2 linked regions of the Lepisosteus oculatus genome follow. The protein of the gene in region 2 purifies or fractionates together with the protein of the main gene of each other region. This does not show direct contact. Links are inferred from orthologs where the notes say so. Each region holds a gene or a part of one and is shown on either strand. Other genes may lie near its edges. The genes, in order: lyar and phf6.

The links.
Region 1: the proteins of phf6 (region 2) and lyar purify together in Homo sapiens (affinity purification with mass spectrometry; 3 studies listed by BioGRID and IntAct, with this or other methods). This does not show direct contact. The link is inferred for Lepisosteus oculatus from reciprocal best matches to the Homo sapiens genes PHF6 and LYAR.

What each region holds. Positions count from the first base shown.
Region 1 is NC_090696.1:43,712,733-43,729,208, reverse strand, and holds the start of lyar (cell growth-regulating nucleolar protein), read right to left. Parts: upstream 8,465-16,476; 5' UTR 8,372-8,464; intron 8,155-8,371; 5' UTR 8,095-8,154; coding exon 7,973-8,094; intron 7,012-7,972; coding exon 6,897-7,011; intron 5,623-6,896; coding exon 5,515-5,622; intron 512-5,514; coding exon 428-511; intron 239-427; coding exon 1-238. Other genes in the region: zbtb49 (zinc finger and BTB domain-containing protein 49), read left to right, coding at 10,134-10,285, 10,495-11,630, 15,855-15,901, 16,390-16,463. UniProt on the Homo sapiens protein: Plays a role in the maintenance of the appropriate processing of 47S/45S pre-rRNA to 32S/30S pre-rRNAs and their subsequent processing to produce 18S and 28S rRNAs. Also acts at the level of transcription regulation.
Region 2 is NC_090703.1:48,794,767-48,811,267, forward strand, and holds the start of phf6 (PHD finger protein 6), read left to right. Parts: upstream 1-8,884; 5' UTR 8,885-9,073; intron 9,074-9,083; exon of another isoform or gene 9,084-9,726; intron 9,727-10,709; 5' UTR 10,710-10,748; coding exon 10,749-10,886; intron 10,887-12,184; coding exon 12,185-12,286; intron 12,287-12,579; coding exon 12,580-12,713; intron 12,714-13,491; coding exon 13,492-13,538; intron 13,539-14,422; coding exon 14,423-14,586; intron 14,587-14,719; coding exon 14,720-14,863; intron 14,864-15,638; coding exon 15,639-15,743; intron 15,744-16,501. Other genes in the region: cab39l1 (calcium binding protein 39, like 1), read right to left, coding at 263-379.

The sequences.
Region 1 (16,476 bases), on a different chromosome or scaffold from region 2:
CTTCTGAGTCTTCATCTCTAGGCTCAAGCCTAAAAGCTTGGTCATTTTCCTCCTCCTCTTGCTTTTCCATTCTCAAAACTTTCTTTTCTTTTTTGCTCTTTTTCTGTCTTTCCTCCTTCCGCTCTCGTTTATTCTTCTTTTTGTCGCTTGAACTGGTGCTGTCCTTTGTCACAGAGACCTGTACTTTATCCTCACACTCATCAGGCTGGCTGCTTATACCCTCTTGAGACTGGCTCTGCTGTTCAACAACAGATGCATAAAAAAATGAAAATGAAATTCCGTGCATACAAAACACAGTGGAGAATAATAAAATGCTATCATTATTTGCACTTATTCCAACACAAAAATAATCATCACATATGAAATGTCAAATAAAAATAATAAAGTACAAAACGTTAACAGCACTACCATTGCCTTTTAGACTTACATTGCTTGTTGCTGCAGAAAAGATTTCCCACACTTGGTCATACAATGTTGTGTTAGAGATCCTTAAACTGTTCTTCATCCAGTTCTTCAAAAAAGTCCAAAAAGAAAAAAAAAGTATAAAGGCCATAAAACACACATTTTAAATTAAACAAATCTTAGTAATTTTCCTGTCAGGTCAAACAACAAAAGCCCTACTATACTTGGTTGCAAACATTTGCTAACATTTAATTATCTTAATTCTTACTATTTCAAGTTTTTAACTGTTATACTTAAAAAAAGAGAAGGTTTGCACAATTAAGGACAGACAGTTTACACTACCACTGCCAACACTGCGTTGAAGCTTCATGCTGTATATTTTGAGGAACACAGATTACATCAGTTTAATCCAACAAAATAAACTTGTCCCCGAGAAATATTTTAAAAAGACTCCACAGGTATGCAAAACATGTCAAATTACAAAGTGCTGACTACTTAAAGCTCGGTTTCCTGCAATTTCATTATTACTTGAAAAACAGCCAACCAGATTCTAATCAACACACAAGAAGTGAAGACTTCTTGGCATTAAGCCAGCAACAAGGGTGGTCGTTGTCACTGAGTCTAAGAAAGTTAAAGGCCCTTATTGTAATATTTTAATGGCTGGGTGACAATGTACTGTAGAGAGAGAGGCAAAAGGAAAGCTGCCACATATATCTCCATTACTGTTGTGCTCAACTGTTGAATGAATCACGTCAGATGCTCAACTTAACTCTCAATTTAAAACAAGCTTGGAGTGAAATTTACACATGGGAACACAATTCACAACATAAACTGACTCTGTTAGGCCTGTTAAGCCTAAATTTTAATGCAAAGCAAAACAAAAAACATTGACCACTGTAAATTTCTGAAAAATCTGTATCTGAGTAGCTTATATAAATCTAAAGATTTACCTGCTTATATAAATCTAAAGAGTCATCTTTTGATTCATAAAAAGGTATGAATGATCAAGGTAGAATTGCATCAATTTTGCAAAGTCAATAGAAAGCTTACTCTTAATAAAACACAAACATTGTAACAAAGTAAGTTAAAATGTATCTTATGTTTCCTATGTACTATTTCCCCTCAAAACATTCTATTTAGCAGCATATTACTGAAAACAAGTGACACTGTGGGAATAATTCTGTTGCTCAATCAATTATTTAATTGTAAAGAATCCCGTCTTGTCCAGTATGTAACAGGTATAATCAATAAAAGAAATTTTACAAAAGAGAGGATGCTAATCTGTTAATCTACCTTATAAGGTTACTTCTCCATTCAAGACTAAAAAGATTCAGTTATTTAAGACTGCCTTCACAGGACATTGTTTTAAACCCTGGAATGTTGCCTGTGGCTCCTCTCGGGACTGATTACAGAACAACAATATCTTTTTGTGTAATATGGCGATTGAAATTGTACAAAGATGTTATTCTGTTCTTTTGGAATAAGCGTAGTCAGTTCAGTCCCAACTCTAAAATAAGAGCAATAAGAGAATAAGAATAAAAGTATGTATACAGCATGACAAAATGAAGTGAGGATATTTTGCCACGGGCACCATTTTGTAAACATCCTTAAAATTAAGAAATGAAGAGAAAGGATACATCTGTTCAAACCTAGAAGTGACCTAGAAGACAAAAGTGCTGCAGATACAGAGCTGAATCCCATGTCCACATTTCTTGCAATTTTGTATTTACTGAGATTATCCAATCATCTCAGTACAAATAGCTTAGAAAGAGCTGAATTAGAGGAACTCTCATGAGGTATAGTGAGGTATACCTATAGTATTACTGCACATACACATAATGACTCACCTACTGAAGACCGAGTGTTATTAATACTGCTCCTCTGCCCACTTTGGCCTAATTATCTTCAATTATCACAAGCTATTGTTACAGGGAAAGCGCTTTAAAAAAAAAAAGTGAAAAATAACACAAACATGAACTACTCCTTTAAAATGTAACTTCTATAAAATGCAAAAATCAACAGACACTATTCCACTGCTTCATTCCTAAAATGAAAATAAAGTAAAAGCCTATGAATAAAAAAGAAACACATTTACAATAGTAAGATGCATATCAAAAGATGCCAACACTACACTTTTAATTCAAAGGTCAAGTACTGAGATTACATTACTTCATAATTTTACATCTGATGTCCTGTTTTCGTTAGACCACTTTGAGGGGCATGTCAACTCAACAATCTGAGTTGAGGGCATTTCCAGTGATGCTGGGGTACATCTGAACCTCATCAGGTTGGCAACAGTACAGTTTAATGTATCAAACGCGAAAATGAGTTCCAGCTGAACCAGAGAGAAGTATCCTTACACAGGGTGTAGATGCAAGGTCTTGAATTGCAGATGGCAATTGCAACAGTATGACGCCAAAGGAAATAAATAAGACATTTGTTTAAGGATAATAAGAAATTTCAAACACTCCTTAAATGTATAGACAAAACCATCATTAAAGAGATTTTAGTGAGCACTGTTTAAAATCTGAAAGCGATTAAAAAGCTTTGAAAATCATGCACAAAGACTACAAAAAATGTAAAATAAATTAATGTTCATCACAAGCCATGTTTAGCTAGAGCAGCAAAATTATCTTTCACCATTCTCACGAATACAAGCATTATGATTATGGTTTATCTCATGGTTACTGATAATTTCTATTATTTCTATTAAGTTACAAAACTTTTTTTAAACCCAGTTTAAAGTAAAAGCATTCTTTTTACCCTTAAAAAGCTTTGCCTATCCAGTAATTTCTAAGTTTCCAAATAATGCTGGGAGAGGTTTCCTTGTTTTCATCATTCACTTATAAGGAACTGTCCCAACTGCCTCGGTGATATTGATGGAGTCTGCTAGGAGAATCTGTATGTTACCCTGTACCAATATAGTGGTAGGAGCTGTGAACTCCTGCTGAATTCACATGCTAAACTCTAACCTTCATGCTTGCTTGAGCACAGATGCTTCTCCCCCTCTGTACTAAACCCCCATCCTCTGTAAAAAACTCCTTAATAAGGAAGGAATATTTTAATTGCTCTCCCAGACCTTGAGTTCCTTGAGAAAGTACCTCAAAGAAAGGAATAGGTGGGTATATATAAGCTGTGGAGAGCCATATCCCCTTTGAACAACAACAATAATCCTCATTGTTGTTCCTTGTATGCATACAATAAAGCTTGGAGAACGGACACCTCAGGCTCAAATCTCTTGGTTTCTACAATATTAATCATGTGACACAAACACAGCAGCCCTGAGTAGGAGGTGACTAAAAAGACATCACTCACCAGCAGCAATGGGTACTGCATAATTCCAGGTACCCATTTACCAAAACTGAGATCTAGAAAACCCTGGACAACTAATCCCATTTTACAATTGGCAGTGCTCAGTTGATTGCACACTGCTGCATGGGAGATCCAGATAAAATCAGTTAATGACATATTTCAGGTTCAAACTTGTGTTCGTGGAGCTCAACATGGACTTAAAGACACCATCAGAGCTCACGTCTTTAAAAGAGATTTTGAGTTACAACCAAACCACATGTTAAGGAGCTTTCAGCAATTAAAAATTTCTTCTTAGGCTAATTCTTTCTGTTCCTAAACCCGAAACATCATATGAATTTAGAATTCAACTGTCCCATGACAAGTAAGCACCTCTATTAAAAACAAAAACCTGGTGACAATAGCTATGCATAACAGCGAAGGCTTTTAGAAACCCACTTGACTTTAAAGGCAGTGCATCAACTGTAGCTGAGCAAATGCAGTGGAGATGCAGGCAGCCATCTTTAGCTACATTTCTGCCCAAAATTCCAGCTCCGATGCATACCAGATATCAAAATAAACTTGCAAGTCATAAGTACAACAAATTCATAAAGTTATTAGGACAATTACAAAATGATTTATAGCAACTGCACCAAACTGTTTCCCCCTGGATAAAGGGGGAAAGTATCCTTTCTTTCTCTCTTAATCATGGACTGCCAGCTGCTGCTACTCTCTCTCTTGCTCTCTACCCCCTCCATGATCAGCACGCACACACCTGTTAACCATTACAGGACAATAAACCCTGGTGAGTTTGCAGCTCTGCTCTCCTGTACCTCCTTCCTCACTTGCCAACACAGCTAGGGAAAATAAGGAAGGATCGCTGGTAATTCTTTATTGTTCACCCAATTGCCAGGAAAGTGTTGCTTCCGACTTATGCAAGACTCGGGCTACATAAAGATTTGAGGAACCAAACCCGTAGGTAACCCAGGTAGTGGGTGAATAGGCATTTTATCTGTGATATATGCCTCCCCCCCCTCCTGGTTGCAGGTGCAGTCCTTTAGGATTCTCATTAAGTCCTTCCGTAAAGCATGGGAAACTTGGGCCTGTTTACTGGTCTCCAAGATCTAGATGTCATACGTCAATCCAGCTCATCCAACGCTCATTTTGGCTAAGGCCTGGCAAGTAGTACGTCTATGGCATAACTGTTAAGATTCTCACCGCACAGCAAAGCTGTTGCTTTTTGTGCAGCCTGAGGGCATGCGGTATAACACAAAAAAACACACTGGGATGAGCCAAGAAAAAGGCCAGCAAGAGAAATCCCAGTACATAATAAACACAGCACTATACAATGAGGCTGTCATCAATCAGTACAATTGGAGCTCTGTGGTGACTATACACTCCTACCCAGACTCCATCATACTTGAAACCCTCCACTGACTGGTCTCAAATTCACAACAATTAGCACGTTAACATCGTTCCACTTGCCGTCTAACTTAAAACAACTCAATGGAATAATAAGAATCACTTTCTTATTAAGTGACATTTTGCTGTTTCTTCTTCTTTTGTAGGATGTAGTGTTCATGCAATAGTCAAAATTCATTTACATGCATCACAGTCAATCTAAATGATGCCAAAACATTATCAATATCCAAAATGCATATATCTATACTTTACTTCTCATAATAAAGACACAGAATCTTACCTTTGAGTGTTTTACTTTGTAAAGTGCTAGTGGAAACTAATGCCTGTTAAAGAACAGCATAATATCACATAATATCATTATATCACATTTGGAATAACAGACAAGCAAACCAGTTCACTTACCTGAAACTTTCCTTTTTTTCTTGGAACATTGTCGTAGGAGCTCACTTGGGACAGCACCTCACGTAATTTTGGACTGATTCCTGGTTTATTCACTGCTTCATGGATTTTCTACAACAGATTATTCTCATAAATATTACAGGCAGTTATTTCTCGTGAGAATATTTACGATAACCGTGTAAGAATTGTGAACAACAAAACATTCAGGAGCCTGAACGATATGAAAAGTAAATCATGAGAAACATTACTAACATTACAAAAGAGGCTTTGAACACTTACCCTTGAGTTCCAAAAGCACTTTCCATTTTCCCTAAATTCACATGCTGAAATTATCTGAAATCATTTTTTCCAAGTTTAGCAAATAATTGCTCAAAGACAGTTGGGAAATGTGCTGAATGGGCCCCTTGAGTGGCTCAACAAGGTAATAGTGCTCATTCCAACCACAGGCTGTGCTTGAGCCAATTGCTTAATGCTGACCAGGATTGACCACATGGTGGCAATAGAGGGTTTAGACTGCTCAGCCAGAACTCTCTTAGCTCCCAGTAAAAAAGCAACCACAGTGATTTCCTGGATGCTGGCAGGTCTGGGGTGATGGCAGAGATGTGTATATATTACTGTCAATCAGTACTCAATGTCGTTGTAATGTGTCAAAAGTTGAATAGCAAGACAGGGGGCCTATTTTTTGTCCATGTGGATACAGGGGTCAGTGCAATTCAACTTGTTTTTTTATTAATAAAAATAATTGCCCACTCAACCTTAAAAAAATAAAACAAAAGTGCAGGACAGTTGCATCCCAACACATAAATATTTTACATGATTAAACTTTCAGGGAAAACAATATCCAGTTAAAAATGTCAAAATGCTAAAACTTTTTAATTTCACATAACCTGAATGATAATGACATTTGTTTACAACTATTCAGATTCAGTCCAAACCCAAGGATGCTGTACATAATGATAAAAATACAAACAAGAACACACAAAACAATTCATAATACACTCAGACATAGACGACAGTAAGAAGACGGGTTTTAGGTTTACAATTAAAAACAGAATACTAAATTACAGAGCACATAGATTTTATACTGCTCTGTTTTCTAAAACAAAACACTTAGTTTAGTGTTTTATTCTATAATAAAAGACATCAATGATTCTTTTTCTCACCCGCCTAGTGACAAAAAATACTTAATTTGAAATATAAAAACAGACGTGATTTACAGTTTTATAAAACATTTATCTATGATAGTACAAAATTTTCAAGCTGCATTTTCAATATACATCAGATCTATCATGATGATAAAATTAGGTTGCAGCAGACTTTCATGCCCTATGAACAAATATCGAGAAGTCTGATGTAGTCCTGAAGAAGTGACAACACTGATCTACCTGAATCCACTGCTGCTGTTTCACATCTCCCTTGTTACTCTTGGCTTCATAGCTTTTGCCTCCGTATTTCTGATCTTCACTGATGCATTTAAGGTGCGTTTTATAGTCTTCTCCCCTGTAGCAAAAAAACAACAACAAATGCATTATAATCCATTAAATGTGTTGAAGATTATCATTTCCTACAAGGATACTGTTAATATTTCAAATATTTTTAAGGTAGAAATATTAATACAGACTTAAACGGGATAGAGTCTTGTATGACTTTTGTGTATACAAGACTCATCAAACCAAAGTAGGGAAACAGTAAAAAAACAAACAATGCTAGGTTACATAACTAAAATCATCTTATTAAAATTAAATGAATTCAAGGGGTTTTATATTAAAATTGTACAATGCACTAGTAAGACATTCAGCATATCACATACAATTTTGTTTACCAGAATAGAAAAATTAATATTACTGCTCATTTCAAAGAGGAGTCTGATTCTTTTAAGTGAATGAATGTACTGCCAAAAGAACAGCTGTTTCTTTTTAGTCTTGGATAAAATATAGAAAAAGGGAAACTTGGTTCTGATATTGGAAATTCTCTAAGGCGTTAACAAAGTAATTTGAAAACATTTAACCATAAACCAAAGGTAACAAGTGAAAAGTATGCAGAAGTTCATTTAAAACTGAGAACAGGAGTCACTTCTTTCAACAACGAGTAGGAACAAACCTGGATTTTTTCAAGAAACATGTGGATGAGATCCCTAGATCACTTAACCGTTAGGAACCAAACGGCTTCCTCTTGATAGTAAGCGGTATTATTTTTTTTCGTTCTCAATTAACTAGGATGAAATACAATAATAGTAAACCTATTTTATGCGGATTATAAAATAAAAATTAACTTCGATTTGTTATTTAGTGGCTTTCAATGAGTGATCCTTAACGAAGGCAACGTTCCGCACGCACACACTGCAAACTACATTAATTCCACCCTTCCAGCAGAAAAAGAAAAAAACGAATCTGGGAAGTAACATATTTTGGACCTTAAAAGACCTTAAAGTAACATATTTTGGACCTTAAAAGATACTCACCAGAAATCCTTACCACAGTCAATACACGACAAACACTGACAGTGCCGACAAATATTCAGGTGTTTATCTACTTGTGCCCTCTTTAATGATTCTCCACATGCATTGCAGGTGAAGAAAACCATCCTGAAATACTTCGAATTTGGAACACAAAAATAATATTCCCCAATCAGATCTTTGCGACCCTGGAACCATAAAAAAAAACACGTGACAGCGACTAGGGTAAATGAAAAATCTTAAAATTTTAAATTCTCTGTATTAAAGATTTCCTAGTGAAAACACAGTACTGCAATGTTGATATTTTTACTTTAATTAAACCGTTCGTGTACATGTATACGAAATTAAAACTACATAATCATTTACTGTTTTAAACGTCCGAATTTACAGATCACTTGAACATACCTAGAGCAACTTCACGTGTTCCGGATAAGCAGTGTTACACTATTTACATTCCGTGGGAACACCGCACCCAAATTGATGTTCCCAAAAGTGCTCTGGATTAGTTTTGAATATAATCTTGTTGATATCGGTCGAAGAATAAATCGAAATTTTTACTTAGTCTTATAGTATTGACACAATATTAGTGTAATACGTTCAAGTGGCAATAAGAATGTACAAAATAAACTTTCAACAAAGTTAAAAAAAGACTAAAAACGATAATGGGTTATTGTCATATTGTATATACTGAATAATTATCGCGGGCAAAACCTAAATCCCTTTGATAATATACGTTTTCCGGAAATATATTAAACAGAAAGTTGCTCAGTGGCAAAACACTTTTGTTCCTAAATGAGATTTCCAGGAAGAGGATTCCAGACTTGCCATTCAGGATTCGTGTAGAGTGGAACTGGAAAAATTGTGTCCTCCTGAGTTCACATGACCCGCAAAACTGTGTTAATTGCTTATATTCATTATACTAGAAAATGAGGGCTTGGTGTTATTAACAGTTTAAACTTAAAAAAATCAGAAGGGAACCGTAACAACAGACTTAGCTCGGGCACAGAACAGTGAAAAATCCGTATTCGTGATAGGTTTTAAAGCCACTAAAGGGAGTGCCTTTACTATTTTGAAAGTGCATAATTTACTTTGGACCACTCCCTTAAATCAATAGTATCTAACCAAAATAAAAAACAAAAATCAACACACCTTTTTATCCCCACATCATTATTTTATCTCTAACCGCTAGGTGGCGATTTCGATCACAGTTTGTTGCGGAAGTGAGGTAAAGGTTCAAGAGGACGTGGTGACTGATCATCCAAACAAAACGGGAAAGAAGGTATTTTTTTAAAACATATCACTGAATTAAACTGTGCTTTGTTTAATATGTAACCTGTTCTGAGGTTCTGTAAGTGTGCTACAGAACCTGATATATACGTGTTTTATTGTCTGTTTTATATATTTGAGCACTAATTTATTTGCCTGTTGTTCTATGCTGGGCCTATTTTTGTCTTGGCAGGTCTCTTCAGTTTTTATATCTGGGGATACTGAAATGAGATAAAGGCGCCGTAGCTTGCGTGGTTTTTCTGCAGGCAGAAAGAAAGCAGCCACTTGGGTCAAGTGTGGCTGTGTGTTGTGTTGTTTAGTGGCCGAACACGTGCGGTGAAATTAACCAAAACTGCTGTGACACTTTCAGATGAAGAGTCACAGACGCAAAACCATTTCGCTGCAGCTGAAATCTTGAAGCTGTACTTGATTTCTGATATTTCACATTTTGTGCTCTCCATTAAGATGAAACGGTGCCTTTTCTTTCAATGTCCCTCACATTGCACCCTGGTGCATACTACACAGTCGTTCGATTCATATCGTACTTGGCCACTGTAGCTCGGGCTACACGCTCCCTCTAACTCATTCAGAAGCTTCTGTGTTAAAAGAATTGCTTTTTTTATAGTTTCCTTAAGATTTAAATGGCGGTCTCGTCACCCAGGTGAGGTGAATGAAGTAGTTCCCCTTTTGTATGTTAAGTGTTTTAGTTTCGTATGGGATGAAAATCTGTATATAAATGAGAGGAACTGTTATTCCTTCTACTACAGTTGTCCTTATAATTGTAACTTGCAGGGTATGTGCACTCATACTTTGTTTTTTTGCTCAACAGCCTAGTCATGTATGTGAAACCTGATGAGAATGGTCCTGGTTCTACGGGTGAGCTATGGAATGAAGGTTGAGCATGGAGTCTCTGTCCAGTCACAGCTCTTACCTACTTCAGCAGCTCCAAGAGCAGCGTATCCAGGGCTTTCTGTGTGACTGCATGCTGGTTGTCAAGGGAGTCTGTTTTAAGGCCCACAAAAATGTCTTGGCTGCCTTCAGTTCATATTTTAGGTAAGTTTACTAGCGCTAAAACATTCAGTAATGCTGAATATATATGGCTGAGCACTTTGTATTATGCATATGTTGGTAATTTCATTGTTAAATTGGAATGAAATGTTTAAAAAACTCTAAATCCTGGGTTTTAAAAAAAGCTACAGTAAGTAATATTCCAACTTTATGAATACATTTTTTGTTGTTGTTGTTGTTGTTTTTTTCTCCAGGTCCTTATTTCAAAACTCACCCGGTCAGAAAACTGATGTTTTTCATCTTGACATTAAAGATGTAGGAGGAATTGGGCAAATTCTGGATTTCATGTATACGTCCCATCTTGATCTGAACCAGGACAATGTTCAGGGAATGTTAGAAATGGCTCAGTGTCTCCAAATACCAAATGTGCTCAATATGTGCAATAATTTCCTGAAACCATACACTCCAGCCATAGAAGCATCGGGAAGCCTCCCTGGTAGTTCCTCATTCTCATTACCAGGTGTTTTGGCAACAGATACTGAATGCATACTTGGGGCCAGTTTGTCTCCTGAGATGGAGTTGCACGGCTCCTCTGAGGCTCAGAAACCTGCGTGTGCCACTACAGACATTGATCTTTCCAGAAGACCACAGACACATTTGCAAACCCCGGCCTTTGAACCACTGAGTGGTGCTTCAGTGATCCCAGATAAGCAGTTGAGTCATGGTTATAAGCTGCGAAACTTTTACAGCAAACAGTATTTTAAACAAAATGCAGCTCTGAATGGGGCTGTAAATCCACCTCATAGTACTGTGGTAGGGGAGCACTTTTCTTCCAGTGTTACAGACACAAACCCTCCAGTGGATATGCCTGTGTCAGCTGTCAACACGGCACATTGTGTGTCTGAGTCAGCAGGATCCTTGGGGTCTAGTTTTGTCATGTCTCCAGCAGTGGAGCACAATGCAAGTCAGAGCTCTGCAGGTGAGGGCTCTCCAATTAATAGGCAGGTTCGACCAAAAAAGGCAGTGTACCTTAAGAAATACGACTACCTGAGATCCCAGAAGGCTTTGGAGGAGTCTGTTTTACAGGCGGACGGGATAGCTGACAGCGCCCCGAAAGAGACAAATCAGTCTGAGCCCAGGGGCAAGGGGGCTAACGACCATTCCGCTGACAGCCACAGTGCAGAAAAGGAAAGTAAAGCTGCCCCCGCGCCGTGTTTGCAGCTTCCAAGCGCCTCGCTCGCACAGCTGGACGAGCCTGAGCACAACCCGGCAGCTGGCACGGCAGATGCTGCCCACCTCCAAAACTACCAGAAGCAATATTGTTGTGAGATGTGCGGAAAGACATTCAAACATCCCAGCAATCTGGAGCTCCATAAGAGGTCACACACAGGTAATTGGGCGTCAAATGGTGCTCTGTTGTTGTTGTTTTTTACAGAAACTTTATGAACTGCACATGCCGACAGGCAAGGTGCTTTTAAAGTTGGCCTTTTCTGACAACTGTGTCATGAGAACAGTGCTCCATGCAGAAGTGAACTGTTGTTATACAAATACAAATAGGACAATGGGGAACACTTTGCACTTGGAGTATAATTCCACTGGGTGCTCGCAGGGGAGGTGCGCTGGCTGTTTTACATCCCAGGAACACACTGTATTCCCTCTTGTTGATGTTGATGATATCTTTTCCGCCTGATTTGTTCAGATATTGCCAGGGTGAAGTGATCCTATGATCTTATTTATCCATCCATCCATTTTCTACTCACTTTATCCAATACAGGGTTGCAGGGAAGCCGGAGGCTGTCCCAGCAAGCAAGAAGTGAAAGGCAGAATTGATTTTATTTAGAAGTTTACCAAATTTTCATTTCTTTACAGTGTACTTTTTAAACAAGACAGTTGTTTGAATGGGTCAGCCAACTTGATAGCCCCTGAGTTTCATTGTGATTTCTGTTTGTGAACTGCACAGAAAAGCTCAATTATAAGGGACAAGAAGGAAGTGAATTTCCATTGAGATTCCATTGAGACTGGAAACAGCAGGACTTTATCGGGCACAAATCTGGTTATCCATCTATCCATTTTCTAATTGCTTTATCCAGTACAGGGCTGGGTGGCAGTCAGAGCCTTTCCTGGCAAGCAAGAGGCACAAGGCAGGATAGATCCCGGACAGGTCGCCAGTCCAAAGCAATGCACACACAATCACAAACATGCACACACTCACACCAGCTCAGGGCCAATTTTCCCAGAAGCCAGTTAACCAACCAGTATGTCTTTGGACTGTGGGAGGAACCCCATACAAATGTAATGCGCACAACTATCTCCACCTAGACAGCACCTCAGGAATTGAACCCAGGGCTCCAGTGCTGCAAGGCAGCAATGCTAACCACTGCCCCACCATACCACCCCAAATCTGGTTATGTCCTCTTTAAATGCAAGGTGCTAGTGTCATTGTAATGTGTTAGGATTTGGACTGGGTGAGACCTGAGGAAAATGTCATCTGGTACATTCAAAGTAGAAGAGTAAATGAAAAGGGACCCTTTATCTTGTCAGGAATAGAAAGGTGTGCTGTGTATTTTGTGTGATTGCAGAAAGGCTGCAGTGCGAAGGGTAGAGGTTGGTGTTTGGTCTTTGTGTTTATTTCTTCAGTGATGTGTGCTTTTCAGAAGATGAAAAGATTTCTGGAATGTCAGCAGGGAAACTCTAGCATGCCAGGCTTCTGGGGGGGGATGAGAAATGACTCATCTTGATGAACTTGCATTAGTGTTTTTATTTTTCCATTACTGGGAAAAAAAGTACCACAAAACATTTAATACAGACTTATTTAAAACATAAAATATTCAAAAGACATGATCTGTGATTCAAAGGAACATATATATTATGTGCATTTTTTACATAATTTCTATAAAATATAAAGAAGTTTGAACTATGTTGACCTGTTCAATGGTCAAAAATTAGACTACTAAAAGTCCAAGCAAATCACATCTTGATTTTTATAATAAGATAAGATTTTATTGTCCAGTGAGGGAATTTTTTTTATGGACACCCAGCACTACTGTACATTTAAATAGAATGCAAAAAAAGAGAAGAAAAACATTACACATTATACTATTACAAAAAAATAACAAAGAAAAACATTGCACATCATTCTATTGCACATGTACAGTATAACACATAACAACATGTAACATTTATAACACATCACAAAACATATTGCACTCTTGACATTTGTATTGACAGCTTTAATGGATAGTGGAGCAAAGGAATGTTTGTATTTGCTTGACTTACATTTGGGAACCCTAAAACATTTGCTAGAAGGAATAAGTGGATCTTCAGAGTTGAGGATGTGGGAAGGATCTGATAGAATTTTTTCCTGCCTGCTTGATTATGGATTTTTCTGCTGATTGTCTGCTGGGAATGGTGCTGTTTCACTCCCATGACCTTCAAAGCTGTCTGGATGAGGCGGGTAATTTGCGATTTAAAATGAACTGATAGATGACCAAACCACACTGAAATACCACACATGATAATGCTCTTGATTACAGCATGGTAGAAGAGTAGCATTACTTCCTGTCAAACCCCAAACACTCTTAGTCTTCGCAGGAAATATAAGCGCTGCTGAACTTTGGAGCAAACACTCTCAACATGAGTAGTCCAGCACAGGCTACAGTCTATGTGTACACCTAGGTACTTATATGAATAAACCTAAGTGATAAGTTCGTTGTGGATTACCACCTGTGAGTGATCACCAACTGTTCTGGGATTGAAAAGTATTTCTTTTTGTTTTTTTGCATTCAAATCAAGGCTATTGGTGTCACACCATTGCACAAATCTTTGGATTTCCGACATGTATACAGATGAGCTGCTACCTCTATGCATTAAGCCAAGAACAGCTGTATCATCTGAGAATTTGAAAATGAAGTTGCTTTGACTACTGCTTGTACAATCGTTTGTATAAAGTGTGAACAGAACTGGAGAGCTCACACAGCCCTGAGGGGCACCTGTGCTAATAGATCGTGACTCGGAAAGAGTTTTGTTAACCCTGACATACTGTGTGCGATTTGTTAAAAATGAATGGTACCATCTTATAATGTTATCTTATAATGTTATGATTATAATAGTTAGTAGTAGCTGTACATGTACAGGTACATGTATATTTAATGATAATGACTACATTTGTTTTGTGTAAAAGTGCTTTTCAATACACTGTAAATCAAGAGTTTGTGCGCTTTCATGTTGATTGTTATCATATGAACTTCATAAGCTGCAGAAGCTCTTGTCCCTGCTATTGATACATTCAAGTTATTCTGAAGCTTATTTATCTACAGAAAATATTTTGTTCCTGCTTGACAGTTAACTTAGAGATAAAAATATTTATGGTAGCTGCTAGAACAGTTTTTTTGTTTGGTTGTTTATTTTAGTTCATATGAAAGCTAAGCATAATTTGATATTCTTTTACCTCATGTCACAAAGTTATAGAATGCTACATTTTCACAAAAAAATTAGGTATTTTCTGTTTAAATGAATCATGCTCTTTGAAGTTTATATATATCATAATCTCATAGACTTATGGAAAAATAAATGCATGCTTTTTGTATTGGACTCAAGGATTTTCAAAGCACCCATCCATGCATGACATTTATGAAGAAAATATTATGTTACACTCACTAGTGTATCATAGTAAAATGTCTACTGTTTCAAAAGCTCAGTATAAGCATTTTGAGTGAGGGGAGGGAGTTTTCATTTGACTCTAAAATCAAAACATTTTCTTGCCCAAGGCTTTGTCAAAGTCTGTATTGTGGAATATTGTCAGCCTTTTAATCTTGCTTTATTTGAATGTAAGGAATTAAACATGATGCTTCAGGGTGTTTTATGTGGGGTTTTGTAAAGCTTTGAAGACTACGATGGGATCAGTTTTTTATCTTTAATGTAGACTTAAACCTACTTCATAACACTGAACTTCTTTAAGCAATCCTTTAAACTACCGTATAGTGTAGTTGGCATGGCACACAAATCAAAAGGCCTAGTTTCAGATGATTTTATGTGTGACTCCACACTGACATTACAAGATTAAGATTAATTCTTAATTAATTAAGGTTTCTGGTATAGGCTTCCGATTACTGTAACCATCACCAGGAAACTCTGTTTGCTAATTAATGGATGGATTAACCAGTCCTTAAACTACAGCTTGCACTGGAATATTTTGTTACTGTGGAAGTCTTAAACTTCAGTGTAGCCAAATTAGTGAGAGATGTCTGTGATAACCTGATGTTTTTAATCATTGAATTCTCTTGTCTAAACTACAAGGTTAAAGCTGGGTTGTGGGGTTAAAAAAACACTTGTGTTCTATGAGTGATAAATTGCATAATTTTTATGAAGTTTGTCTGCAACCAACCATGCATGTTTCGAATAGTAAGGCAAGAATGTGTGCTTATGAGTAGAGCCATTCCCAGTAAGATATCCCATCAGGCTTGCCAGTGCACCAAACTCCCTGTGTGCTTCACATTGTGCAGCGTTTCAGAACTTTCCACCACAGCAGTGTTTAATATTGTGATCAATTAAACTGTGCTGTAAGAGTTCATGGGTGAAATGTTAAAATTAGGTGATGTATTGTTTCTATTAACAGGTGAGAAACCTTTTCAGTGCAACATCTGTGGGAAAAACTTTTCACAGGTAAGCTACTTTCAGTGTGATACGCCCTTGATTGTAGAGCACTATATAGTCAATATTTCCTTGGAAGGGCCATATTTATTTCTCAGTTGCCCAGTGTCTAATATGGGCAACTGAGAAGAAGAAGGCTCCACGGCCGAAACGTTGTGTTCTCTTTCTTCTTTTTTTCAGCATGGAATAAACCTATTACTTGTTCCTTTGCAGCCTACGCATGCTGACGCAGCTACCCACCTGAACTACAGTGTTTAATATGTTCTCTTACAAAAATAGTGAACAGTAGATGGAGAAAGGGGATAGCAATTGAAGAAAAAGCTGACCAAAATTGCAAAAAGGAGGGAACATAAATATTCCTTTTGCTTTCTGATTAGCTACTGTCTTTTTAAACCATCTGGAAAATGTGTGGGGTGAAATTTCTTAGAATTTTTAAATAAAGTAAATCTGAATGAAGTTCAGTTTGATCACTGTTCCACTTTTGTATCTGAATGAACCAGGCAGGTAATCTACAGACTCACTTACGGCGACACTCAGGTGAAAAGCCCTATATCTGTGAAATCTGTGGAAAAAGGTAAAATCTGTTG
Region 2 (16,501 bases):
ACGCCTGCCGTGCCCAGGTAAACACCAGGAAATGCCTGCTGTCTAACAGAACACAGGAATATAAATTTCACAGGCTTGTACTCCAGTGTAGAATGCAGTTGAAGAACAGTCAGTGCGTGATCTGGCAGGAATGGGATAAGGAATATGAAGGACTGACTGAAGAATACATATTCACACACCTGAAGTAGGAACTCTACTCGTTCCAGATGTGCAAAAATAAAAATAATCCTCACCCCTGCTGGAGCTCATCTGAGAGACTCACCTTCTCACATTTTTTGCCTTCGGAGGTGTCCAGTTTTTCCAAGTAAGCCATGTTCTCTTTTAAGCTCCTAACGATCTCGGCGGGGCTCTTCTGCGATTTTCCAAACGGGAAAGGCATTGCACTGAGGAGACGTTCCCTGTCCAAGCGCGAAGCAGGAGGCACTGTGTCACACTCACCAGCGCCTGAGAGATCCAGAGGGAAAGACAAGAGACTTGAAGGCCCGTGCATGGTGAACGCACGCATGAGCTCCATATTCACACGGCTGTGCAAATGCACCATGTAAAACACCATAAGAAATGGTAAGTAAAAAATATAAATTCACATTTTAAGGCTTTCAAATTTTTCCCACCCACCTTTGTTTAACCTCACACAAAACACTATGGGTAATTTCACTCCAGAAAACTTAAAAACTGTCTCTCCTGCCTCACGCAGCTCTTACAATTTCTTTTTAGAGCCATTAAAAAAAAAGCTGCATCAAGGCTCGGAGCCAGAATGCACCAGGACCCAGAGCGCAGATGCATTTAAGAATGAAAGACTTTCTTAAGCGATCCATTCTCAAGCTTTCATGCTTTTACAGGGATGCAAAGGTGACACCAGGTGAGTGGAGGTTTATCTCCCCTTCTGAATCTCTAACGAGTAAACTTTACACTTAAGAACATGAGAAAAAGGTTACGAAATAGAGGAAGCCAGCCAGGACATCTTGCACTTGTTTAGTAGCTCATCAGTTCTAACATTTCAGCCACGTTAAGCCCAAGCTCTGGGTCTCGGCCACTATTTATTCCTAGGAAGCCTGCTCCAGACACTCACGGCTCTTTGCGTTTTTAATTTCCAGCTGTGACTCTGTCCCGATTTCACCGCGGAGTCTGGCGTGCTCCCCTTCTTTACAGATCATTTATAATTTTCTATACTTGGATCACATCTCTGCTGTTCTAGGCCAGGAGTCTCAAGCTCACTTCCTGCTGTCTTCTGGGGTTTAGCTCCACCCATGTTCACACATTTGCATGGCTGGTCTAGTTATTTCATCGACAGCATAATAGCAATGCTTCCAGCCAGGCTCCGAGTGGATCTGTAGGTAACGGCCCATTTTAGACCTTAAGGAAAATCCTTTAGAATTTTAATTTAGTTACACAACTTATCTGTTTTTCTTACTACTTCAGATTGGAACAGAAGCCACACGATACAGGACCTGGGTTTGAGAACCCTATTAGAAAGGGTAGAAAGTCTCACTATGACAATCCCCTGAGACCAGAGAAGAGCAGGGGAATGTTGCCTGAACTCACATAATATTCAACATGAGGTAGACGGCATTGTACTTTCTTGCAATGTACTTTCATTGCATATACAGAGGAAGCAGCACACCTGCTCACTCTGGCCAGTTCTTCTTCAGATTCTGTTTGAGGGTCACGAGCAAGTAAACACCAGAGAACAACAAGACAGCTGGACAGACAATGAGCTAGGTAACAAGTAAAAAATGAACACAGAGGATATAAATTACTCTCAATCGGCTGATTGATACTTTGGGTTTTGAAACTGCTTGCAGACCACAGACTGCAGCAGTTTATAGTGTTATTCCCAACACACATCCCTTGGTGGAAGGGTATTGCACAGCCCTAAGCAGAAGCAGTAGTAACTTCTTCAATCAGTGAAGAAGTGAACGTGGCTGCTGTGCTTGACAAACCACGTCACCCTCAGCACAGAGCCACAACACATAATACTGCCTCCGGGCTGCAGCGCACAGCTGGAGACGTTACCAGTACCTCACCGCAGCGGGACTCGGACAGCCCGAGAGGGGTACAAGGAGTTTTCACATCAGGAGCCGGTCTGAACGTCCGCCCGGTCGAGGAACCCCCGAAAAACTTTCAGCGGAACTCAGGCCCCGCATCCGCAGGGATCCCCGACGACCTACGAGGACCCAAGGTCACACCAGAGCTACACATGGCGAAGCCGGGGCTAGGCCCAGACCGGCAGGGGTCTTGTTCTCGGCTCTAAAGACACACAGATCGCTCCCTGCAGGACAGCACACGGCAAAGCGCATACGTGGGAACTGCTGAAGGTCTTGGGAAGCGTCCCTGTGTCCCATGAAGGGCTCCGCGCGCCGCTTGGCATTCCTGTGTGAGCTGCGCTCCTAAGGAGGATGGGTGGGAATGAAGCCTCTTCCTGATAAGACAGAGTCAGTCAGTCTGCACCCCCCCCCCTCCTCCCACACTCTCGCTATCTGTGCGCCTCAAGGAGCTCAGCCTGCGGGAGCCCTTTTAACCCCTCGTTCAGGGACATCCCGAGTTCCAGCTGAGGCTGGAGAGAAGAGGGGTTTGCAGGAGTGCATCAGTAAAAAAAAAAAAACTAAAAAAAGTATGATAGCTCATGTTTGCCCATCACAATTCTGGAGCTTTTCCTCTTATGGGTTGTTTGCTATCGGAGGAGGGAGTATCCTCATTTTTTTTCGGCTTTTCCAGCCAATTTGAGGCTTTCTCCACGAATGGAGCAACGATGGGACTTTTTTTTTTCTTTTTTTTTTTACACATGGGGGCTTTTTTTTTTTTTTTTAAATGCTTATGGCAGAACTGTCCTGGAGGTCACACTGGGTTACAACACCAGAAGGGCTGCAAACCGGAGGAGGCCTGTCTGGTAAGATTATCAGAGGGGCTCACCCAGCTGTTTCCTGAGAGAAGCCAGGGTATCGGCTTCAACAACAGGGCTGGGCGGCTTGTTCCCCACCCCCACCTCCCTTTGTGTAACGACGTGACTCCTGTCCTGATTGGAGGATCTCACCCAGCTGTCGGCTTCAGTTTGTTCCACACCCCCACCTCCCTTTGAAACCACACAGGGAGCTCAGTAATCATGCATTCTAATGGCAACAGACACAAAGTTCACCTGGATCCCCCTGCGAGTTCGGATTTCACTAGGAGAGCCGGGGACACAGTGGCAGCACAGACAGAGAGGCCCACACGCGTCCTCTGGAGCTCCCTCCCTCCAACACCGAGCGCTGGGACTCTAAGGACATGTGGTTCTGAAGCGCTTGTGCCAAGCAGTGGTAAGGGAGGCAGAAACTGACGTCATTCACAGAATACAAGCAGAGTGCTTTAAGGGGGGAAAGAAAAAACTAGTCAAACAGCTTAAACCAAACAGAAAGCCCAAAGCTCAGCCAGAGAGCTGCCCTGAACCGTCTGACGTGAGAAAATGGGCACACCCTTGCCACTATAAAGGAAAGGATTATTGGAGCTCACCAGGATCGAAACATGTTTTTTATTTTAAAAAACTGCTGCTAACGACCTTTAACCTTAGGGGGATGAGTGGTGGCTCTGTGGCTCAGGATCTGCGCCTGTGACTGGAAGGTGGCCTGGAATCCTGTTCCTTTGGGCCCCCGAGCAAGGCCCTTAACCCCCACTGCTCCAGGGGCCCCGTATAAATGTCTGACCCTGCGCTCTGACCCCCAGCTTCTCTCTCCCTGTCTGTGTGTCTCATGGAGAGCAAGCTGGGGTCTGCAAAAAGACGAATTCCTAATGCAAAAAATTGTATATGGCCAATAAAGTGATCTTATCTTAAAAGACATACTTTAACCCAATAAAGCTTCGATTTCCCCCATGTCTCCCTGATGCGAGATACAGAAGGAAGGAACTGTAGAACAGTCAAGAGGCGAGAGGAGGCCTGGTTGCCAGATAGACAATCACTGATCCCAGAATCATCCAGCTGTTTCCTGAAACCAGCTGGGGGCATGCATTGGCTTCAACAAGGACTGGGCCACCTTGTTCCACACCCCCGCCACCCTTAGTGTAAAGAGGTGCCTCCTTTTCCTCAGCTCTAAACGAGGCAGCCTCCACGTGTGCCCTCTGGTTCGTGTTTCACCGTTCGTTGTGAAGATTGTGTTGACTGTGCCAGGGCCCTAACCGTTTTTGAACACTTGCCTCAGTCGTCAAGACTAAAAAAAGTTGAATTACGCCCCAGAATTCAACTGGTTGTTCTTCTCTGGACAGATTACAGAGCAGCAATATCTTTTTCTCTAACGTGTTTACAAGCCCTCCGATTCCAATAACTGGAATTGTGCCCTTTGACCTACTGTTATCTGACAAGGACTTGAATTCAGTTTGTCCATCATGCTGTCCGGTCAATGCAATATAATGAATCCGTTTTCAGCATCTTACACCGGTGTACATGTATGAGAAAGTAAACTCCAGAGAGGAAAAAAAACAAAACAACATTTTACAGGAATCTATCTGCGTGCGCCGTGAACAGACTGTTTTTCTATCCCAAGTGTAAATTTGGTATCTTTAAACGCTAGCTTTCCACCCATTAAGGACTGTCCACAGTTCGAGCAGATGGCAAGAGACAGGGGTCCATTAGGGAGAGACACCGAGGTCGTTTTTTAAAAAAAAAAAATCCGAGAGCTTGTGGTGGAAGCAGTGCCATCCCTTTAATGGAGCTGTCGCGGCAGACCCATCGATCGAAAAGAGCATTAGCGTTAACATCGCATTAAATAACGCGAGTGACCGCTTTAAAAACAAAAAAAAAACGATCGCTAGTCCAGCCTTCTGGCTCAGGCATGAAAGTAGGGGCGCCTTTTGAACTACTCCGATGGCACAATGACACAACAGGATAGCAGATAAAACGTTCGGCAAATATGTATAGATATATTTAGTCCACTGACCGGATCTGTCAATACCGTCGGTCAAAGCCAACCGCCAGCAGATATTACACCGCACTACAAACACGGTCTGAGAAGTTATGCTGAGGATGTTTCAACAGCTATGTAACATCTGCTTCTGAATAAATAAAAAAAAAGAAAGTGACGCAAGGTCGCCCCTCAAAAATGTGACTCGGCCGATATGCATCTATTTTTTTTCCAAGAAGAGTTACTGCGCAGCTCTGCAACGGGGCAGGGTTGCAGAAGCAGACGTGACGGGTTTCTGACAGCTCGGTTCGAACCACGGAATTATACCTCGTTTGGAGAAACACCGGCATGAGCAACATACCTTAGTGTCGGGGGGGGGGCGCTTGTGAGCTTCCGAAAAAAAAGCCCCCCCTTACATCTGTCCGTGTTAACACCTCGCTGTGTGTGTGTGTGCGTCTTACCGCCGCCGCTTGTGTGACAGTTTTCAGTTACCTAGACCAGCTCCCTCGTCTCCGCCTCCTGTCCCTACGCAGTTGAATGAGCTGGTATTTTTCCAAAGTAATATCCGGTGACACTCGATTGTCTTCACTTTAAAACAAATACTATCGATCACCTCGCATAAAGACGTAGCAATAATTCAGCTGAATGTAAAAGTACCAGAACATTCTGAGGAGACTCTTGTCTTTGTTGCTGTGACTTTGTTTTCTCCTACCCCCAAAAAAAAATCGAGAACAATTTTGTTATCAACACCGGAACAAACGTGACATTTAAATGAAGGATGCGAACTTTTACAGCCCAGCTGAGCCAGGGGATTTCACTGGGCCGCGTTTGGTTTCTCTACCGGTGGCTGCCCGCCGGAGAGCTAGTATTTCAAATAAATTAATGATCACCCCGGACACAGGCGAGCACCGCTTCCGACAGCCGGAAAATATTAAAACCCAAAAGACAACAGAACGATCTCGGGAGGAGGGAGACAAACAACTAGTTCTACTCACCGGACTGGCCTTTTACGGTTCCTTTAACCAACTGCAAAATGTGAAGTTTAAACTGAGAACGTCACTATTGTCTTCATCCGTAAACTGCTGCTGCTGCGTGCTCCTCGTCCGCGAGGCGTGGCGATCTCGCCCTCAGCCCGGGCGGCACTCCTCCTCGAGCTCGCTCGGGCTCTCACGCGCACACACCCTCCCCTCCTCCCTCAGTGGCTGGGCGGAAAGCGTGCGCGGGGCTGGCGAGCGCCCCGGGTCACGGACTGACACTGCTCTGGGCCAATCAGAGCCCGGCAGCCAGCGAGGGGGCGGGGCCTGCGCTCGTTCCGCGGGGGCACTGTCCTGCCTGCACGCAGTACGTTTTTACGCCCGGAACTACCGTGAATCCATTAACACTGCCTGGCAGAGAACATTTAAAAGAAAGGAAAAAGTCGGTGAAAGATACCGCATTTGTTTTGCACGCTTCAGCTGAAAATAAAGACTTTCCAAATACAGATTTTTGCAATAGACCAATCTACTGTATTTCAGGGTATAGGCATGACCTACACTACATTTCACTCAAAAGCTCATATAATCACAGTTTCCTTGAGCGTCACAAAGTGTTGTACACTTCCTCTTTTGTTCATTTAAACGTTTCTACGTAATTTTTTCAGTGGAAAAAAATGGTTACTAACAGATCAATGTATACACATTTTTCACTGTCCAAAACACATCCATTGTATTTCCTCAAGCTGATAATGTTAGAATGATCCTGCTTTGAATATCCTGGAACACCTCAGCACTGTGATAAGGCAGAAAAAGTATATCTATCTGGGTACAATATCTTGGATCTGTGGTACATAAACGAGTTTAACCAGTTTTTCAACCAGAACTCCCAACAGGATGTCCACATGATGGGCAGAGAGCAGTTTGCCACGAGCCCTGGATTACTGACTTTGATACTGTGAGACGACTGGCCGTTGGTTGTACATATTACCTGTTAATCAAAGTAATTTCGTCTTCCCCTCTCATAGATGAGCAATGTTTTCCACTGAGATGCACATGCTTTTTCAAAGGAAAACCAGATAACCCTCATGACGCATGTCCCCATCTTCCTAGCAGTGTGGTTAAAACACCACGTGGCCCACCTGGTTAGGTGATACCAAAACAGGTCACGCCAACAGATATAGACTTGTTGCACAGGATCTTTGCTTAAAAATGGTGTATGTGGCTGCAGACGAAGGCACCGAAACAATATGACCTGCTAATCCCTTCAGTGAAACGAACAGCATGAGACTTGAACCGTGTTGCCCTATTCTGGTGCTGCAGGACCCCTGCGCCTTTATTGATGGGTTTTATTGAGGCTGAGTTTTTTTTTTTCTTAATTAAGTTTACTGAACCTTTAGTTGGCACACTTTTAAAAACCACTGCCAGCTCAGGAACACTAACAGAAGGCTAGAATTCAGGACAGACCCTGTGCAGACAGTGGGTTTCTGAATCCAGCTCATTGTTTTGGGTTGGTAGCTGGCCACTGGGTCAGTACAGCACTACGAACGCCTAGAATCTGAGCATTTACCAGCGTTATTCTCACATCTTTACTTAGTAACCAATTTGGTTGTTCAGACGCTACGTGAAAGCAATCGTTCTAAGCCTAGCTGAAACAGAGACTGGTTTGTTAGATCCATCCTCCTATTTTCTAACTGCGAGGGAGCTGGAACCTATCCCAGCATGCAACAGGCAGGAAGCAGGGTACACCCTGGACAGGACACTGGCCCGTCACAGGACACACACACACCCTGGACAGGACACTGGCCCATCACAGGACACACACACACCCTGGACAGGACACTGGCCCATCACAGGACACACACACACCCTGGACAGGACACTGGCCCATCACAGGACACACACACACCCTGGACAGGACACTGGCCCGTCACAGGACACACACACACCCTGGACAGGACACTGGCCCGTCACAGGACACACACACACCCTGGACAGGACACTGGCCCGTCACAGGACACACACACACCCTGGACAGGACACTGGCCCGTCACTGCTATTGAGACCCGAGCAGAGGAAACAGTCCAAATGAAGCAACTGGCTCAGTTCATGGCTGAATTATTTTACCTAATTGAGTTAAACTGAGAGCTCAGCTAAAGCCATGACCAGAAAAAAACAGTGACCCCCAGTTATCAGCTCTTATATGTTCAGGTTTTTCCGAAAGCTGTTTTATTCCTAGGAGAGCAGTAGTAAAGATCCCAGATTAAATCCTTCAGCACTTGCGTTCTCTGATCTGCCCCTCGCTGTACTTCTGTAGCTACACTGACACCTACAGAGATAAATCGCAGTTCGTTTATCTTGATGTCCAAACCAGCGCTGAAGGCCTCTTCCTGGTGATAAGGCGATGTAGGGGGACCTGTTACTTTTAACCCAACACAGCGTAAAGAAACAGCATATTCTAGTCAGTAGCCCAATACTAGGCTCCCTACCAAATGTCTGTGACTTGCAAATGTGTCATAAAATATTAAGAACCGCTTGCCGGCATTTATATAGGAATATTCATCCCAAAGGATCCCAAGGCACTTGACACACGGTGCATCCCAGTACACAAGAGCAGTTCGGGCAGGAGAGTGAGATACTACTACGAACTGAATCAGGAAGAAACGCCCTTACCCCCATAAACAGCGCGCTGGAATCTATATATATTCTGTAGGGCAAAACCTTACATCCTTTGAAATCATTGCTTTTTAAAGAATACTGCAACAACTCTAATTGCCATCGTTGTTTTTGTATTTGCTATGATAATACAACCGTTTTAGACACCGCGGCGGTATTGATCATCACGAAGCCAAAGCCGAAGCCGCTTTCATGATATCAACGCCGAGATAGTTCGCGACAGCACGAGACCCTCAGTCACCTTCCCCCACCCCCCCCCCTTCTGGTTCGTCGGCGGGCGCGCGGGTGGACGCGAGCGTCCGGAGTCCGCCGCGTGCGTAAGGGGCGTGTCCGCGGCGAGCGCGCGTGTGTGTTTTTTTTTCCCAGAGCGCAACGTCATCCGAATGATGCGCAGTAGAAGCTGAGAATCCGCGAGCGAGCGCTACATCGCAATAGAGGGGGAAAAAAAAACAAAACAGGACGGACGCCTTTTTTTTTTTACCCACCCACCCCGCCCCCCCCTCTCCCCTCCCCACAAGCAGTGGAGCAACGTGACTGTGACACTGAGACGGTAGAAGGGTAAGATGTCTGTGTTGCGGCCTTTATCAGCCTCCCCGGCGGGGTAGTGTATCTGGGGCCGGCGGGGTAGGGCTGAAACGGGGGTGCCCTCCGTCCCGGGGTGCTGAACGCGAGGCGTGCCGCATGCTAACGCGCCCTCCCCGGCGGCGGACCTGCCCCCCGGACCGCCGGCGCCGCGGCGGCGGAATGAATGGAGATGCGCTAGATCCTGCTGTCGTGCTGCATATGCGCGCTCTTACGGCCTGTTCACTCTCCCGCCCCCCGCCGCCCCCCAGAAGAACTGAATTAACTGCAGCCGAGAGCGGAGGCCCTGCCCGGACTGAGGCCCTGCTGGGGGGGGGTGCGTGGAGACGGAGGGGGGGTGTTTTAAGTTGTCCTTCGCATTGAAGTAAGGGGTACGGGTCGAGGTTGGAGGGAGACGGAGCGGGCGGACGCGGCGGCGGGGGTCGCACCTGGACAGCTTCGAAACTCAAACTGGGAGAGGTCTTCACGAAACAAAACCAGCAACGACTTCGCACTCGGAACGTGTGGTTTTATTGACGCATGTGCCCGCCACCTCCCTCGTTACGGACCCGGCAGTTTTGAGCACGTTTTCCCAGCTGCACGGGGGGGGGGGGTGGGGGACAAGTTGAGGTTCGCGCGGAGTTGGTGAGGTTTGTGTCTCGTTACTTTGACAGCTCTGCTCGCGCGGCGCGCGGCGCGCGCGGGTTGCCCGTGGAGTGGGCAAGACGAATAAAATAAAATACTTAGTATCAGTGTTAAGATAAATAACACAGAAATAGTTTTGGGCGGTGGTGGGTTCGTGCTCATGCGTTGATCAGGTTTTGCAGTTATTATTTTTTCCTCAATCGGGTGCAGTTTATCGATTATCGCTCAGTTTTTTAAAATAAAAACATTGGTCGAGATGGGTTGCACCAATATGAATAAATTAACTGTAATATGCTCAGCTAAAATGTAACCATTACTGTATTTGTACAAGTGGAATAGTAAATATATTTCTCGAGTGAAACGTTTTAATATTTTGAGGTTTTGATTTTAGAATCGCCGGTGGTGCGCTCGGAGCTGGAGAGGCGCTTAACTGTTAAACGACCCGCTGTTTTAACCGGAGCCCAGAGGGCAGTGTCAGCCGCCGCAGTCCTGGGGGGGGAAGAGAGGCTCTTCGGCGAGCTGGGAGTGCGTGTGTTTGCCATTTAGCGTGTGTGCGCTGTGCCACGATACCTTCGTTTTCTGGGAGTAAAAATGTGCAGTTTTCCCTGTCACCCGGAGCTGGACTTCGGGACACCTGGAGTCTCGATGGCAGCGTGGGTCTGATGTGATTGGCGTTACTGGTTAAGACCAGGGGCGTGGAGCAGCCTTCTGCCCCAGGGGGGTCGTGTCCTTAAGAAATCCCACCTCATCGGGAGCCTCTGCTGTTTTAAAAACAGCGGAACCCCAGGGCTGGACTGTGTTGCAGGGTGATGTCATGAAGGGCCGAACTGTGAGACGCGCTGACTGTGTCTTGTTTGTCACGTTACCCGAGTTGGGATAAGTAGTCCCCCTTAGCTCCATGTCCCGCCCGGCGTTAAGAGGCAGAGGGGTCCCCGGTCCGGTGCCCCTGCGCTCACTCTGTGCCCGCGGCTGTCCTGCCCCCCCACAGGGCCGGGTCGGGAGCTGAGCGTGCTGTGGCCAGTGGACCATGTCCGGCTCGTCGGGGCAGAAGAAAGGGCCCGCGCGCCTGCGGAAATGTGCCTTCTGCAAGACCAACAAGGACAAGGAGTGCGGCCAGCTGCTGGTGGCCGACGGCCAGAAGGTGGCGGCGCATCACAAGTGCATGGTGAGGGACGGCCGTCCGGACCGCGCGCGCTTGAGGGGTTCGTCCTGGGGGGGGCGGGGGGGCAGTACAGGACCTGCAGGAGACTTCGGGAAGAGAACTCTTGAAAGCGCTGCTCACAGACCAGGCAGACACTTATAATAATAATAATAATAATTGCTTACACTTATATAGCGCTTTTCTGGACACTCCACTCAAAGCGCTTTACAGGTAATGGGGCTCCCCTCCACCACCACCAGTGTGCAGCCCCACCTGGATGATGCGATGGCAGCCATAGTGCGCCAGAACGCTCCCCACACACCAGCTCTCAGTGGGGCTCCTTATTATTATAAGTGTCTGCCTGGTCTGTGAGCAGTGCTCGGTGAGCTCGGTCAGGATTGCACCTCCTGTCCTCGCAGCCGATTTTGCCACAGGGAGACTTCAGATGATGTACACACGTCTGCTCTGAAACGGGTTCTACACCTCCACACACAAAAACCCCCTGATGGGGTCACGGGTTTTATCGGGGCTCTTTCTGGGCGAAGGCCACCCGTGTGCATTAAAAAAATATATTTTTTTTGGGCCGGCAGACGGGAGTGATCATGTTTTCTTGTGCGTTACGAAGGTGTCCAAGATGGGGGTCTCGGATGTGTTTAACAGGAAAAACGATATGCCGGTAACCTTGAGAGTCATCGCACGTCAGACTTGCAGGCACAGTCGTCCGATTCTCCTCTTTCAGGTGTCTTGAAAGTCCTGCCAGTAGAGATGTCTTTTCTACTCAAGGACTCTCGAGTCTTCGAGCTCTGAACCTGGGGTTATGTCTAGGCAGAATGGCGAAGTAGACCTCACTGACAGACCGCAGGATTGAGGCGGAGACTGGCCAGAGTCCGTCTCCTCGAGAGTGAGGGAGGTGTAAATCTTGTGTGCCACTGAAAGAAAATTGAATTCTGGCCACATTCAGGGTGTGTACTCTGCAAAGCTTAACTGTGTGCGAGTGGGGGGGGAAAAATGAGCTACTTTTCTGAATTTCGCCACACAGAGGACGGTTCGTGACTGAACTCTTGAGTCCTTGTAGCTGCGTGGTTATCGCATGCGTGTCCAGCGTCTCGCTCATCATCGTCATAACGGGAAAGCGCATCACGCCGGTGGTTTGGTGTATCTGTTTAAACCGGATGGAGCAGGAACCTTTCTCAGTGTGAAAAGGCCGCTTCCCGGCGTTTTCCTGGGAACGCAGCCCTCCTGCGCTCCTTTGCTGGGAGCGGCCGGCCCGGCCCGGCCCGGCCCGGTTCACTCCCCTCTCCCTGTCCCCCCTGTCCCGCCAGCTCTTCTCCTCGGCCCTGGTGTCGTCCCACTCGGACAGCGAGAACATCGGGGGCTTCTCCATCGAGGACGTGAAGAAGGAGATCAAGAGGGGGAACAAGCTGGTGAGTCTCTCGCCCCCCCCCCCCCCAAGGGTGCGGCGGCGGCGGCGGCGGCTTTCGGGGTGACCCACCCCCCCCCCCCGCCGCGGACTCCCGTGAGTCTGTGAGACGAGGACACAACCGTCTCATTCGTACATCCCCCCCGCAGAGAATCCCTTCAAAGTAGAGTCCCGTTCCTTCACGGGAAAACCCGATCCTCTGCAGACCCCCTCCCCCCGTTCCTCCCCCGCTGCGCCGAGTCCAGAGCGCGCTGGGATTCTGGGATTCTGGGATTGACGTGTCCGTCCCTTTCGCAGATGTGCTCTTCCTGCCACCGGCCCGGCGCCACCATCGGCTGCGACGTGAAGACGTGCCGCAGGACCTACCACTACTACTGCGCCCTGTGGGACAAGGCCCAGATCAAGGAGAACCCCTCCCAGGGCATCTACCTGTAAGGACGCAGCGGGCGGTGCGCTCCCGGCTGGGCCCGGCTGACCTCCTTCAGTCCTGGGCCCGGGACTACAGGAGAGTGCCGAGTATCCCACCTCAACGGGACCGGGAGTGTGTCGGATAATTGACGATGTGGGATAATGCGGGATAATGAGTAGACAAATCGTAGATGAATGGACATGCAGTATGCGTATGAAATCTGGTGGATTAATCCACTGTAATGCTAAAATAACGAGAGCACAGCACTATTGTTCGCGATTGTTTAAGAGAACGAGCGCTTGTTTCCCAGATGCGCTTCTCTTCCCTGCGCCGGGGTGTCGCCCGCGTCTCGGTAACATGACATCAGCAGCGGCCGCTTCGAAAATACAGGAGGCAAAATAATCATCACGAGCGCGAAGTCGGCAAACGCAGCTACGTCCACGTCAGTACGTGACCCAGCATCGGATTGGGCAAAATATGCACGCACGCGCGCGAGCAGTGTACAGTATATACACTGTATATACTTACATATATGTCGGATAAGCAAAGGTCGGATAATCGCGTCTCTACCGTAGTTAGAAATGATCAGCGAGAGCCCAAACGACTAAGGTCCTACAGCTCTTGTGGGCTGGAGTTAAGTTCTCCCGCCCTCTTGCCTCCTGTAGGCCATCCGGTTGCGCACGACGTCTTCTTCCGAACGTTTCGGCTCGTTTCTTTCTGGTTTCACGTCGTCTGCGCCCAGCAGAGGATGAGGAGCGTGCCGGCTGCTCACCTGTCTTTCTGATTCCTTCTCCTGGCAGGGTGTACTGCCGCAAGCACCGGGATGCTTCGCAAGACTCCAGCGAAGGTAGGAATGTCCATCGACGTCTTTCATTCAGTCCTTTCCTTGCCCCCCAATTTCTGTGTTTATTTTACTCGCAGCCTCGCAGTCTAGAGCACACTGCGTTGAGCGTAATCGCTTGAGGGGTCTCACGACTGTCTTTGTAAAAGCACAGTGTAGTTCTTGGGGTGACGTGATTAGTGGGGTGCCACAGGGACCTGTACAAGGGCCGCTGCTCTTCTGAATGTGTGTCAGGGGTCTGGGCTCTGGTACATTTACAAAGAGGATTAACCTGCACTCCAGGGGCACCAAATGAAATTCAAAAAGATTTAGATGCAATTCAAGACTGGGCAGAGGCGACACCTGGCAGGTGACCTTGAATGTAGAGAGGTGCAGGGTTTTTGCATGCAAGTATTGGAAAATACTTGGGAAAATGGGAAACGCTGATCTAAAAGAGGCAACTTATGATGTAAATGTGTCAACATAAACATCTTCCAAAGAATGTGGGGAAGCAATTAAAAAGGCAAACAAAGCATCTGGATACGTGGATAACAGTTTAGACGATTAAAGGGATGTTGTGTTAGAATTGAATGATACACTGTTAAGGCCTCTTTTTCAATACTGTTTAGAATTTTTTGCCACCACATTATTGAAACGATATTGCTCTCTGGAATCACTGCAGACTAGAGCAGCCATTTATATTCAGGGACTTCAAGAAACGTCCTGCACTGACAGTCTGGAGCAACTGAACTCTTTTAAGAAACAGATGTTTCTTTCTTTTAAGAAATGGATCCTGGGATCAATTAGCTACTAACTACCAAATGAGCCAGTTGGGCCAGATGGCCTCCTTTTGTGTGTAACGTTTCTCATGCTCTTGTCCTCTGACCTTTGCGTCCTCTCTTGTCTTGCAGATGAGCTAGAGGGTGTGGCCAACGACTCAGACTCCTCCCCTCCCCGGGGGAGGGGGCGGGGGCGGTTGGAGAAGGGGCGGGTCAAAGCCAGCTCACGGGGCCAATCGGAGGACACGCGCTCGACCTCCTCGCATGGCACGGACGACGTGGAGATCGCGTCGCATGTGAGACATCGGCGTTCCCTAACCGTGAACACCTAGCCGCGCAGAAATGGCTAACCTGGGTTATCCCCCCCACGCGTGAGTGAACGGCGCCCTTGTGTGGTTCTCTGTGTAATCTCTGGCTCTCTGTGTGAAGCGGGACCGGTCCCCTCTGCGAGGCAGCCCCAGCGACACCGGCCCGCGATGCGGCTTCTGCCACGCGGGGGAGGAGGAGAACGAGACCCGGGGCAAGCTGCACGCCTCCAACGCCAAGAAGGTCGCCGCCCATTACAAGTGCATGGTACGTCAGGAAGGAGCCGGGGGGGGCTGTTCGCCCTCTCGTGAGCCGGCGGGGTTGTGTGGAACTCTTCTCAGACCTGTGGGGCTGGAGCATTGCTTATTCTGTGTTCTAGACCTTGGGGGTGGGGGGGCATTGCTGCTCTGTTTTCTGGGGCTGCGTCCCCTGGAGCGCCGCGGTTCCGTGTTCCGGGAGCGCTGCGTCCCCTGGAGCGCCGCGGTTCCGTGTTCCGGCAGCGCTGCGTCCCCTGGAGCGCCGCGGTTCCGTGTTCCGGCAGCGCTGCGTCCCCTGGAGCGCCGCGGTTCCGTGTTCCGGCAGCGCTGCGTCCCCTGGAGCGCCGCGGTTCCGTGTTCCGGGAGCGCTGTGTCCCCTGGAGCGCCGCGGTTCCGTGTTCCGGCAGCGCTGTGTCCCCTGGAGCGTCGCGGTTCCGTGTTCCGGCAGCGCTGTGTCCCCTGGGGCGCCGCGGTTCCGTGTTCCGGCAGCGCTGTGTCCCCTGGAGCGCCGCGGTTCCGTGTTCCGGCAGCGCTGTGTCCCCTGGGGCGCCGCGGTTCCGTGTTCCGGCAGCGCTGTGTCCCCTGGGGCGCCGCGGTTCCGTGTTCTAGCACTGCAGGGAGTGTAAGATGAGTGACTTTTTAAAATGAAAACCACGACAAAAAGCCCTTCTGCTTTGCTGCCGTTGCCCTGAAGCTGGGGGGTGACGCGTGTCCTGGCCGGGCCGCCGGGGGGGGCGAGGCAGGGAAACAGCGGGTCTGAAGGCTCTCTTAACGTTCGCTTCCAGCTGTTCTCCTCCGGGACAGTGCAGCTCACCACCACCTCCCGGGCGGAGTTCGGCAACTTCGACATCAAGACCGTCATCCAGGAGATCAAGAGAGGGAAGAGGATGGTAAGGGCCGCTCGCTCGCTGGTCAGTCAGGCCCGAGCTCTGAGGAAATTCAGCGTGGAAATGAGATTCTTACCGTACGGCTAGCACTGCGCTGGGGCTGGCGGAGAGCGTGCATGTGTGTGTGGGCAGGATGAGGCTGAGAAACACTGAGGCAGACCAGTGGCTACCAGCCTCCTGGTCCTGGAGGGTTACTGGCTCTATATCGCAGAGTAATCAGTGCCACTCTTCTACCTGGGGCACAGCTGTGAATCTGTTCTGGGCTCTTGAAAGGTGGAAGGGGATTTGTCACAGGTGGCAACCCTGTGGCAGTTCCCGAGTCTCGGGACCTCTGCCCAGGGATGCATGTGTGTGTGTGTGATAACCTCCCTCCCGCCTGCTGCTGTTCGTCCGGCGGCTCAGTCAGTGGGGGCTGTGTAGTCTGAGGGGCAGGGTAAGGTTCTGGTACCTCTGTGCCCCAGTCTGTTACCCCGGGAGGGGGGGGTATTTCTGACGCTCGGAACTGACCGAAGATGCAAGTTAAGATCGAAGTCTGAACAAGCAGGCGGGACAGTGCTGTTCCATGTTCTAGGACTGCGTGGAGAGCTGAGCTGGAATGAAAACCAGCTGGGAACTGTTCCTCCAGTACCGGGGCTGGGAGACGCTGATCTCCCAGAGGCTCACTGCTCTCGGGCAGAGCAGAGCTTGCCTTCTCTCCCCGGAGCGGCTCAGTTCAGTGTGCCGGGGGGACTGTGCTTGTTCAAGAGAAACCGCGCTGAGTG